Linked DNA regions of Sus scrofa. The protein of the gene in region 1 interacts with the protein of each later gene in a pairwise test. Links are inferred from orthologs where the notes say so. Each region holds a gene or a part of one and is shown on either strand. Other genes may lie near its edges.

What was found.
Region 2: the proteins of BAG4 (region 1) and UNKL interact in binary tests that used the Homo sapiens proteins (3 or more experiments, as listed by UniProt). The link is inferred for Sus scrofa from reciprocal best matches to the Homo sapiens genes BAG4 and UNKL.

The regions. Positions count from the first base shown.
Region 1 is NC_010457.5:48,345,888-48,350,393, forward strand, and holds the start of BAG4 (BAG family molecular chaperone regulator 4), read right to left. Parts: upstream 2,924-4,506; 5' UTR 2,619-2,923; coding exon 2,349-2,618; intron 1-2,348. Other genes in the region: U6 snRNA-associated Sm-like protein LSm1, read left to right, coding at 3,162-3,207. UniProt on the Homo sapiens protein: Inhibits the chaperone activity of HSP70/HSC70 by promoting substrate release. Prevents constitutive TNFRSF1A signaling. Negative regulator of PRKN translocation to damaged mitochondria.
Region 2 is NC_010445.4:40,443,530-40,447,920, reverse strand, and holds the start of UNKL (putative E3 ubiquitin-protein ligase UNKL), read right to left. Parts: upstream 2,925-4,391; 5' UTR 2,867-2,924; coding exon 2,790-2,866; intron 1,671-2,789; coding exon 1,461-1,670; coding exon of another isoform or gene 1,445-1,460; intron 1,414-1,444; exon of another isoform or gene 1,351-1,413; intron 648-1,350; exon of another isoform or gene 603-647; coding exon of another isoform or gene 565-602; intron 1-564. UniProt on the Homo sapiens protein: May participate in a protein complex showing an E3 ligase activity regulated by RAC1. Ubiquitination is directed towards itself and possibly other substrates, such as SMARCD2/BAF60b. Intrinsic E3 ligase activity has not been proven.

The DNA.
Region 1 (4,506 bases):
GTATAGCTAACAATGTAAGAGAAAGAAAACAGAGATTTTCTCTTTTTCACTCCTGCCATATTTAAATACATTAATATAGAGTCAAGTCTTTGCAGTTATTCACTGCAATATCATCTCAATATATCCAATTCTGTGAAGCAATGCTTCTCAGCCACAAACGTGCATATGAATCACCTGAGGATCTTATTAAACTGGAGCAGCAGGAAGTATGGAGCAGGAGAGATTCTGCATTTCTAACTGCCTCAGATCAACACTGAAGCTTCTGGTACATGGACTACACTTTTTGAAGAGTAAGATGTCTTCCGGGCTCAGAGTGTTAAGAACCTGACTAGTATCTATGAGGATGCAGGTTTGATCCCTAGCCTTGCTCAATGAGTTAAGGATCTGATGTTGCTGTGGCTGTGGTGTAGACTGGCAGCTGAAGCTCAATTTTGACCTCTAGCCTGGGAACTTCCATATGCTGCAAGTGCAGCCATTTGAGAAAAACAAAGAAAGAAATCATCATCCTATACTTTTCAAGTTTCAGAAACATCAACCTGAAAGATAAACTCCTGCAACGGTTGACAAATGCCCAATCACATTCCGGCCGTATTCCTGACCGCTCCAGCATTACCTAGCCTGTGTGCACACCTGTTCTCCCTTTAAACTCCCTGCCCAGTACTAAGATCTTAACTTCTCTAACCTTAACCCAAAAAAAACCTTTGTTTTGACTACACAGCAAGCCCAGGTGGAATCATCAGCTTAGTGGTTCTCTCCTCCTCCCCCACAAGTGAGCCTAGGTCTAGTCTGCATACCTATTAGCCAAGCATTTCCTCACTCTCCTCTGTCGGGACTGAAGTTCCCTCAGGCTGCTTATTCTAGATTCAGATAGAGAAATTATGGGCCTTTCTTTGTAATTAACCTCTCACTACGTTTTTTTTTATGATACAACTTTTTAAAAGAAATAACATGACATCAAACCCAGCCTTTTAAAGTGTACAATTCAATGTTTTTTTTTAATATTCAGAGCTGTGCAATCTTCATTTACAATCTAATTCCAAAATATTTTCATCATCCCCAAAAGAAACCCCATACCCTTTAACTATCTTCCCCAATGTCTCCAGGCCTCCAACCCCTGACAATGACATATATTTGTACAGACTTGCCCATTCTGGATATTTCATATAAATGGAATCACACAATGTTTAATGTTTGTCTTCGTTCATGTAGCATATTTTCAAGGTTCATCCATGTTGTAGAAGGTACTTCATTTCTTCCCATTTCTTCCCATTCATTGTATGAATATGTCAGATTTTATCTATCCATCAGTTGATGGGCATTTGGAATATTTTCCCTTTTGGCTATTATGAATAATGCTACTATGAATCTCACGTGTACAAGTTTATACGTGGACATGTTTTTAGTTCTCTTGGGTGTATAACAAGGAGCAGACTTGCTGAGTAAGATCCCAACAGTATGCTTAACGTTTTGAGGGACTTCCAAACTGTTTTCCAAAGCACTGAACCATTTTATGTTCCCACCAGCAATGTATGGGAATTTCATTATTACATTTTCAACCAATGAGGATGTTACATTTCCTGAAGAAAAGGATAGGAGTGCCCCCACCAGATAACGATTAATTCTCTGCGAAGCATACTGCATAACAAAACAACTGTATTTCCGCACGACTACAAGGAACAAGACATTATAGGTTCAAATATACTGAGTGAGTTAACCCTTCACGGTCAACGGTTCTTTCATCGTAAAACAGAGAAGATGTGATGACATTTACGCGGCAGTCACCCTTAAGATGAAATAAAACAATCCACGGAAAGCTGCTTTCCAACATTGATTATGCGTGATTCAATGTCGGGCAAAGCGTTAAAAGGGCAAAGAGCTAAACGCCCAGATCCCTCCCCTTCCTTCACGTTCCTTCCCAGGGGGAGGGGTTGCTAAGGGACGGAGGGTGCTGCAGCCACCTCCCTTCTTGGGGAGGGCCGACCTGATGAGCCACGCAGGATAAATTGTCAGGACTCGAAAAGCAGACCCGGATCCCTCCAGCCCAACACCGTTCCCAGGCGAGATTCGCAGCCCGCTACTCAGCTCAGCAGGTCAGCGCAGGATCTTTTTCCCCTTTTTCATGCTAAGACATTTACTATGGTTGAAGTAAAAAAGAGGCAAAGAGAAAACAAGCATAGCCCCCACCTACGATCCTAGTTTCTGTCTCTCCACCCCCCCATAAGGAAAACACATGAAACCCAATTCATTACGAACTCTTGGAGGTGTATCAAACCCAATAACCCTCACCTCCAAAGACTCCCCTATTGCCGTCCCCTACCCCACCCCGGGACAGACAGCGCAAAGCTTACCTGGTGGCTTCCTCCAGCTCGACCTGGCTCCGACCAGACGCCTCCAGAGGGATAGTAGCCATCTCCTCCTCCCCCTTCTCCCGGCCAGGTGGTCTCAGCCTGGCCGCCCCCGCGTACCCGCCAAGAAACAGGAGGCTGGGGAGGTTCGGGGCGGGGAGGATATATGGGCGGAGGGGGGTGCACGGGCACATCTCCACCCCCAGGCCCGTAGTAGCGGCCATAAGACGGACCGTCACCGGGGCCGTAGCCCGAGCGCCTCAAGGCCGACATGGGCTCCACTGCCCCCAAGTGCTTCCCGCCCCCCACGGCCGGTCCATTGCGCAGACGCCAGCCGGAGAACGCAAGTGGACCGCAGGGAAGGGGGTCGGCCAGCAACAGCCAATCCCAGGCCGGGTCCCGCCCCCTCGGCCTCAGATTCTTGAGAGTTGAAGGACTGAGGTCGGTGACTCTGGGGTCTAGGAAGCAGGACAGCAAGGGGCGCCACCGTGTACCTTAAAAGGGAGAACGCATTTCCCCACTACGTATCCAATCTAGGTTTCTCTTCCCCTCTTGTCAAGGACGTGGAAAGGGTGCCTCGGGACCTCACTACGGTCCCGCCTCTTCCTGAGCACCGGCACGTGATGCCGGAAGTGGGTGGGAGTAATATGGCGACGTTTCCGGCAGGCCCCGGCGGCTGAAAGCCGGGCCGGAGGTGCTACTCTGGGTCCGGGTTCTTGTCCCGGTGCCGCCGAGGCGGCGACTGCGGTAGGAAGAAGGAAGTGTTGGACGAGTTGGCCCACCACCGCTATACGTTGCGCCTCATTTCAACTCAAAATGAACTATATGCCCGGCACCGCTAGCCTCATCGAGGACATCGACAGTGAGTAGTTCGGCTCCTCCGAGTGAAGTCTGGGGTGAGACTCTTCCTGCCGGGAGGATGCTTTTTGGAGGCAGGTCCTAGAATGAGTCCGGGCCAGGGGGCGGTGTCTTTTTAGTGCTGTTCTGGACGTGCGGCGTTAGCGTCCTTTGCAGGAGGGAGGAGCCTTGTGACACGCTGTTTGCCCGCCTCCTACCTGTATCCTATCTCTTACAGCCTGCACCAGTCCTCCGGCAAGCTGTCGAATCCATTTCTGCTTTTCAGGGATGCGGCTGCTGAGGCCCAAACATGAAAGTTGCCGCCTCCCGGGCCCATCATCTCCCACCTGCGGGATTTCGAGTCCCAGGTGGTTACTGGTGGATGGATGAGAATTCTTAAGGAAGGGATGCATCGAGAAACGAAAATACGAATACAACAGTAATTGGACTTAATTAGCACTAAGCATAGGCTTTATGCTGCGTCGCCTTTTGCAGTCTTCTTTTACCGTTGAGGGTCTTTAGATTTTCAGATTATGATAGTAGAGACTACTGCCAGACAAGGCTTGACTTTTCCAGAAGGACCAAAAACTTGTTTTTTTCTTGTTAGACAGTTTTCTTTGGTTTTTATTTAGACGACCTACCTTATTCCTAGTCACCATCCTGAAGAGAAGTTTAGTCCTCTATAGCTGTCCTGTCTTTTCCAGACTCTCATTCGTGGATTATTCCTCAAGCAAATTTTAATAAATTGTTTCAGTCCTGTGATCTGTCTTGTTTTGCTTTTTAGGGCGGCACCATGGCATGTGGAAGTTCCCAGGCTAGGGGTCGAATCAGAGCTGTAGCTGCTGGCCTATGCGACAGCAACTCTGGGTCCCAGCCACGTCTGTGACCTACACCACAGCTCATCGCACCACCAGATCGTTAACCCACTGATCAAGGATCGAACCTGAGTTTTCATGGATACTAGTTGGTTTCATTACTGCTGAGCCACAATGGGAACTCCGTCTCATTAACTTGTAGTAGTTGCAAAACAGTTTGCATACAGCTCCAAACAAGTTACAACAATCTCTACAGTTACTAAGTATGCAAATTAAAGAATGAGTTTATGATTATATTCTCTATCATCTGAAATTATTTTTAAAATCCAAATTAGTGATTTTGCTATTAAAGGAAAATGTAGTGTAGGTTGGACCAAATTCATATGTGAATAGCCACTGTACAAGCCTATCTGCAATGTATGATAAAGTCTTCAATTTTTGTTGTTTGAAGATGCCCTTTTGCCCTCACCTCTTTTGTTATATATCTGAATTAGTTGAGGCCTTAACAC
Region 2 (4,391 bases), on another chromosome or scaffold:
GTGTCCTCATGGATACTAGCTTGGTTTGTTACCACTGAGCCCCAACAGGAACTGCAAACAATGCCACTTCGAAACTTCACAAAACCATCACATCATCTTAACCTAAGCAGACCTGGCTACAATATTGCTGCAGGCTCCAGGCTGCCTTCACAACACCTGTAACTTTCTGGTGTTCAACTAAAAACCCTTCAGGAAGTGTCTAATGCTTAGAAGATGGTCACTGGAGATCAAAAGCTTACTCCCTAGCTTAAGCATTTCCAAAAACGAAGAACAGACTCACAGGGGGCTCCCCGTGCTGCCGTGCGAAAGCTGGGCTCACAAGGGGCCACACCTGAAGAACCGCCTCCCCTCAGAGGATCAGGGTTTGAAGACCAGAAGCACCGCAGCCCCCATCAGACCCAGAACGGAGCAGAAACTGAATGAGTCGCTCTATCCAGAGGGCCCTGGGGCACAGCCGATGCCACCTCACCTCCAGGTGGGAAGGAATGGGCCCTCCCCATCTCAAAGGGCCCACTGGAAAAAAGCAGTTCCTGCCACCAATTTCTGCTGGTTATAGGAACATACCATCCGCCTGGCGCTTCCCCTGTTTTCCCCGTCCACATATTTCAAAATGAAGACATCTGTTCCTCACACCATCAGGAAACTTGCTAAAAAAAAAAATCAACCAAAACAAAACCTTGATTTCTTTCTTTCTTTCTTTCTTTTTTTTTTTTTTTTTGCCATTTCTTGGGCCGCTCCTGTGGCACGTGGAGGTTCCCAGGCTAGGGGTTGAATCGGAGCTGTGGCCGCTGGCCTACACCAGAGCCACAGCAACGTGGGATCCGGGCAGCGTCTGCGACCTACACCACAGCTCATGGCAACGCCGGATCCTTAACCCACTGGGAAAGGCCAGGGATGGAATCCACAACCTCTTGGTTCCTAGTCGGATTCGTTAACCACTGAGCCACGACAGGAACTCCACAAAACCTTCATTTCATAAACTTTAAAAGGGTGATACAAATGATAGCCTGTAAATAACTTTCCTATCGCTTTTTTTCTTAAAAATTAAACATATCAACAGTAAGAAAAGAAACTTTCCAGAAGTATTTGCATAATGTGAGCAAACATTCCCACAGGCGCTCTCCAAAAAACAGGTGATGCCTACAAAATGGTCCTAAACCCAGAAGGTGTATCTCCTAAGGGTTGGTTCTAATGCAAGAAAAGCAGAGAAGGTGGGGCAGAATCGTTTCGCACCGTGCCAGGTTGATCCAGCATCCGCTGGCAGTCCTTCCTGCAGTGGCCGAGAACCAGGGATATGTGTCCCCCCACCCCCCGCGCCCCCCAAGACCAGTGGTTCTCGGAAAAACTCACAGGGACGACAGGGCCCTGCAGGTGCCAGGTGCTGAAAAGCCCAAGCCTGCCGCCCGCCCAGGTGTGGGCAGCCGGCGCTGCCCTCCAAGCTTACGCGCGCGCACACTCACGCGTCGCCGTCAGGGCACACGCCGCTGGCCTCGTCGTACTTGGAGCAGTACACGTCCGGGCTGTAGTTGAAGGTGCCGTCGCGCCTGCGGAGCGGTCTGCGCCGACGCTGATTTAGGAAATGCCAATGGAAACAGGTAAATGGCCTGTGCTGGGCGCACTTGTGCTGCACAAACAGGGAGCACTGCTCTGTCCTAAACTCCTTTAGATACCTAAAAAGACAAACAGCGTTCGGGTCGCTTCCGCCGCCGCCGCCGCCGGCGGGCGGCCCGGGAACTCGTGGGCAGCGATCGGACGCCGCGCGCCCGCGGGCCCGGACCCCAGGCGCGACCCCTCGCGCTGCCGCCCTCCTCCCCACCCCCCACCCCCACCCCCACCGGCCAGGCTCGTTCCTCGGATCCCAGGCAAGATGTCCCATCCCCGACCCTAGGTGCCCAGCCCCATCCTCCATCCTAAGCACGGCCCCCGACCCCGGGCGCAGCTGCCCAGGTGTGATTCCGACCTCAGGTGCGATCTTCCGCCTCCCCCTCCCCCCCGCCCCCTGAACCCAGGCGCGTTCCTCAGATCCCAGACATGGTTCGCCAATCCCAGGCACGGTCCCTGACCTCAGGTGAGACCCCACAGAACCCAGACACGGACTCCTGGCTCCAGGCGCAGCTCAGGCATTACACTCACTCCAGACGATTCCAGGCGGCCACCCCCCCCCACACACACACACATCCCAGGAGAGTTTCCCGGACCGCAGGTGCGACCCCCCAGACCCCATGCGCAGCCCCCCATCCAGACCACAAACGCGGCCCCCAACTTCAGGTGCGATACGGGGATTCTAGGAGAGCCGCTGCCCCAAGCCCCGGTACTATTTCCGACCCCAGGCGGAGGCTGCCCTCCTCCCCAACTCCAGTCGGGGTCCCCCACTTCCGACCACAGGCGCATTCTCGGCGGTCCCCGACCACGACCCCAGGCGCTCTTCTCCTACCCGAACCCAGACGTCTAGACCCCCGACCCAGTTCCCCGCCCCCAAGCCCAGCTGCCACCCTAGACCCTGGGCGCCGCCTCCTGTCCAAATGTGGCAGCAGCCGAGTAGGATGGCAGTCCACCCGCCTAGAGCCCAGGCGCAGCGCGGAGCATGAGAGGCTGGCGGGCCAAGGGGCCGCAGGTGAGACCAGAGAGGCGGGGAGAGCGAGGCGGGGGGCGGCGCGAGGCCCCAGGCCGCACCCGGCGGCGGCTCCCAGGCCCAGGGGTGCGGGGGCGCGGGCGCGCGGGCCGGGGGCGCGCGGAGCTGTCCCCCCCGCCTCGCCCCCGCCTCCGCGGCGGCCGGCTGGGGCACTGACCTGTAGTGGGTCGGCTTCTCGGTCTGCGGGGGGGACCCGCTCAGCGCCGCCGCCGCCGCTTTCGAAACCGACGGCATTTTCAGTCAAAACAATGCAGCGCGCATGCGCCACGCGGGCCCGCCCCCGCCCCTCCGGATCTCCCCCCGCGCGGAGCCCACCCGCGCCCCCCGCCCGGACAGCCACGCCCTCCCGCCACGCCACGCCCTCGCACCACGCCCCCATCCGGCGCCCAGCGCGGAGAGGGTGGCACCGCGAGCCTTGCAGCACCTGGCGCTCGCTGGAGGGGTGCGCGCACCCCGGGCTCCGCCACGCCCCAAGCCCGCCGGCTCGGCCGGTGGCCCCCACACGCACCGGCCCGCAGGCATCCACGTTCACGGCCCACGCCGCACCTGCTCGGCCCCCCGCCCCGCTGCCGCCTTCACCCCACCACGGCTGCCCCGCGCGCTCTACACGAGTCGGCAGCGCCCTACGCGACGCGGATCTGGGGGAGAAGATGGAGCAAGCGGGAGGAGAGGAAACGCACCCAGGCTGCTACACTCGCCTTCACTCGTTGACGACTCTGACCCCCCGGGCTGGGTGCTGAGACGGGAGAGAACGGCTCCAATTGCTTAGGGCTGGGAGTGGGAAAGGTGGGGGAAAAGGGAGCCTGACTGCTCCTGGATGTCGTTTAGGAGTTACGAACATGTCCTAAAATTAGACTACGATAATGGTTAACCCCCCCTCCCGCAAATATACTAAAAATTTTCAGCTGTATACTTTCAATGAGAGAATTGAAAAATATGTGAATTTTGTATCAATAGAACCAAAAAGGATCCAAGAAAGAGGCTCGCAGGCAAGGGAGACACACCTGTCACCAACACCGCGGGGGTGGAGGGGGTGGGATGCAGAGGGTGGAAACTGAGGGAGGCAGGAGGCCGCAAAGCCTCACAAACAGGGCTCCAGCTCTGCTGGCCCTGGAGGAGGAAGCAGGGTGTGCATTTCAGGAAAGAGAATTCAGGTCCAGAGTACATTATGTGGTAAACACTCAGCATAGGAGACATCCTTTTAAGTGTTCAACCTAGCTGGTAACTTTTTTTTTCTGCCACAACCGCTGGCAGGTGGAAGTTCCTGGGCCGGGGATCAAACCCCAGCCACAGCTGCACCTGAGCTACAGAAGTGAAAACATCAGATCCTTAACCTGCTGCACCGGGGAACTCCAGTAATTCTCTTTAAATGCGGATGAAAACAAGGAAGAGCCCATGGATCGGGTCAACTTTTTTTTATCTGAGGAGCAACCCCAATGCCGGTGACCTGCAGCAAGACAAACCCTTGAAGGAAGTGTGGCTGGGAGGTGGAAAGGGTACTGACCTTTACAGAAAATAATGTGTTACATTTCTAGAAACTCCCACCTTAAAGATTCAGACCAAGATTTATGTACAAATATAATTATCAGTTAGGAGTTCCCATTGTGGCTCAGTGGTAATAAACCTGACTAGTACCCATGAGGATTCAGGTTCAATGCCTGGCCTCGCTCAGTGGGTGAAGAAGCCAGCATTGCTGTGAGCTGTGGTGTAGGTCGAAGACACAGCTCGGATCCCGAGTTGCTGTGGCTGTGGTGCAGCC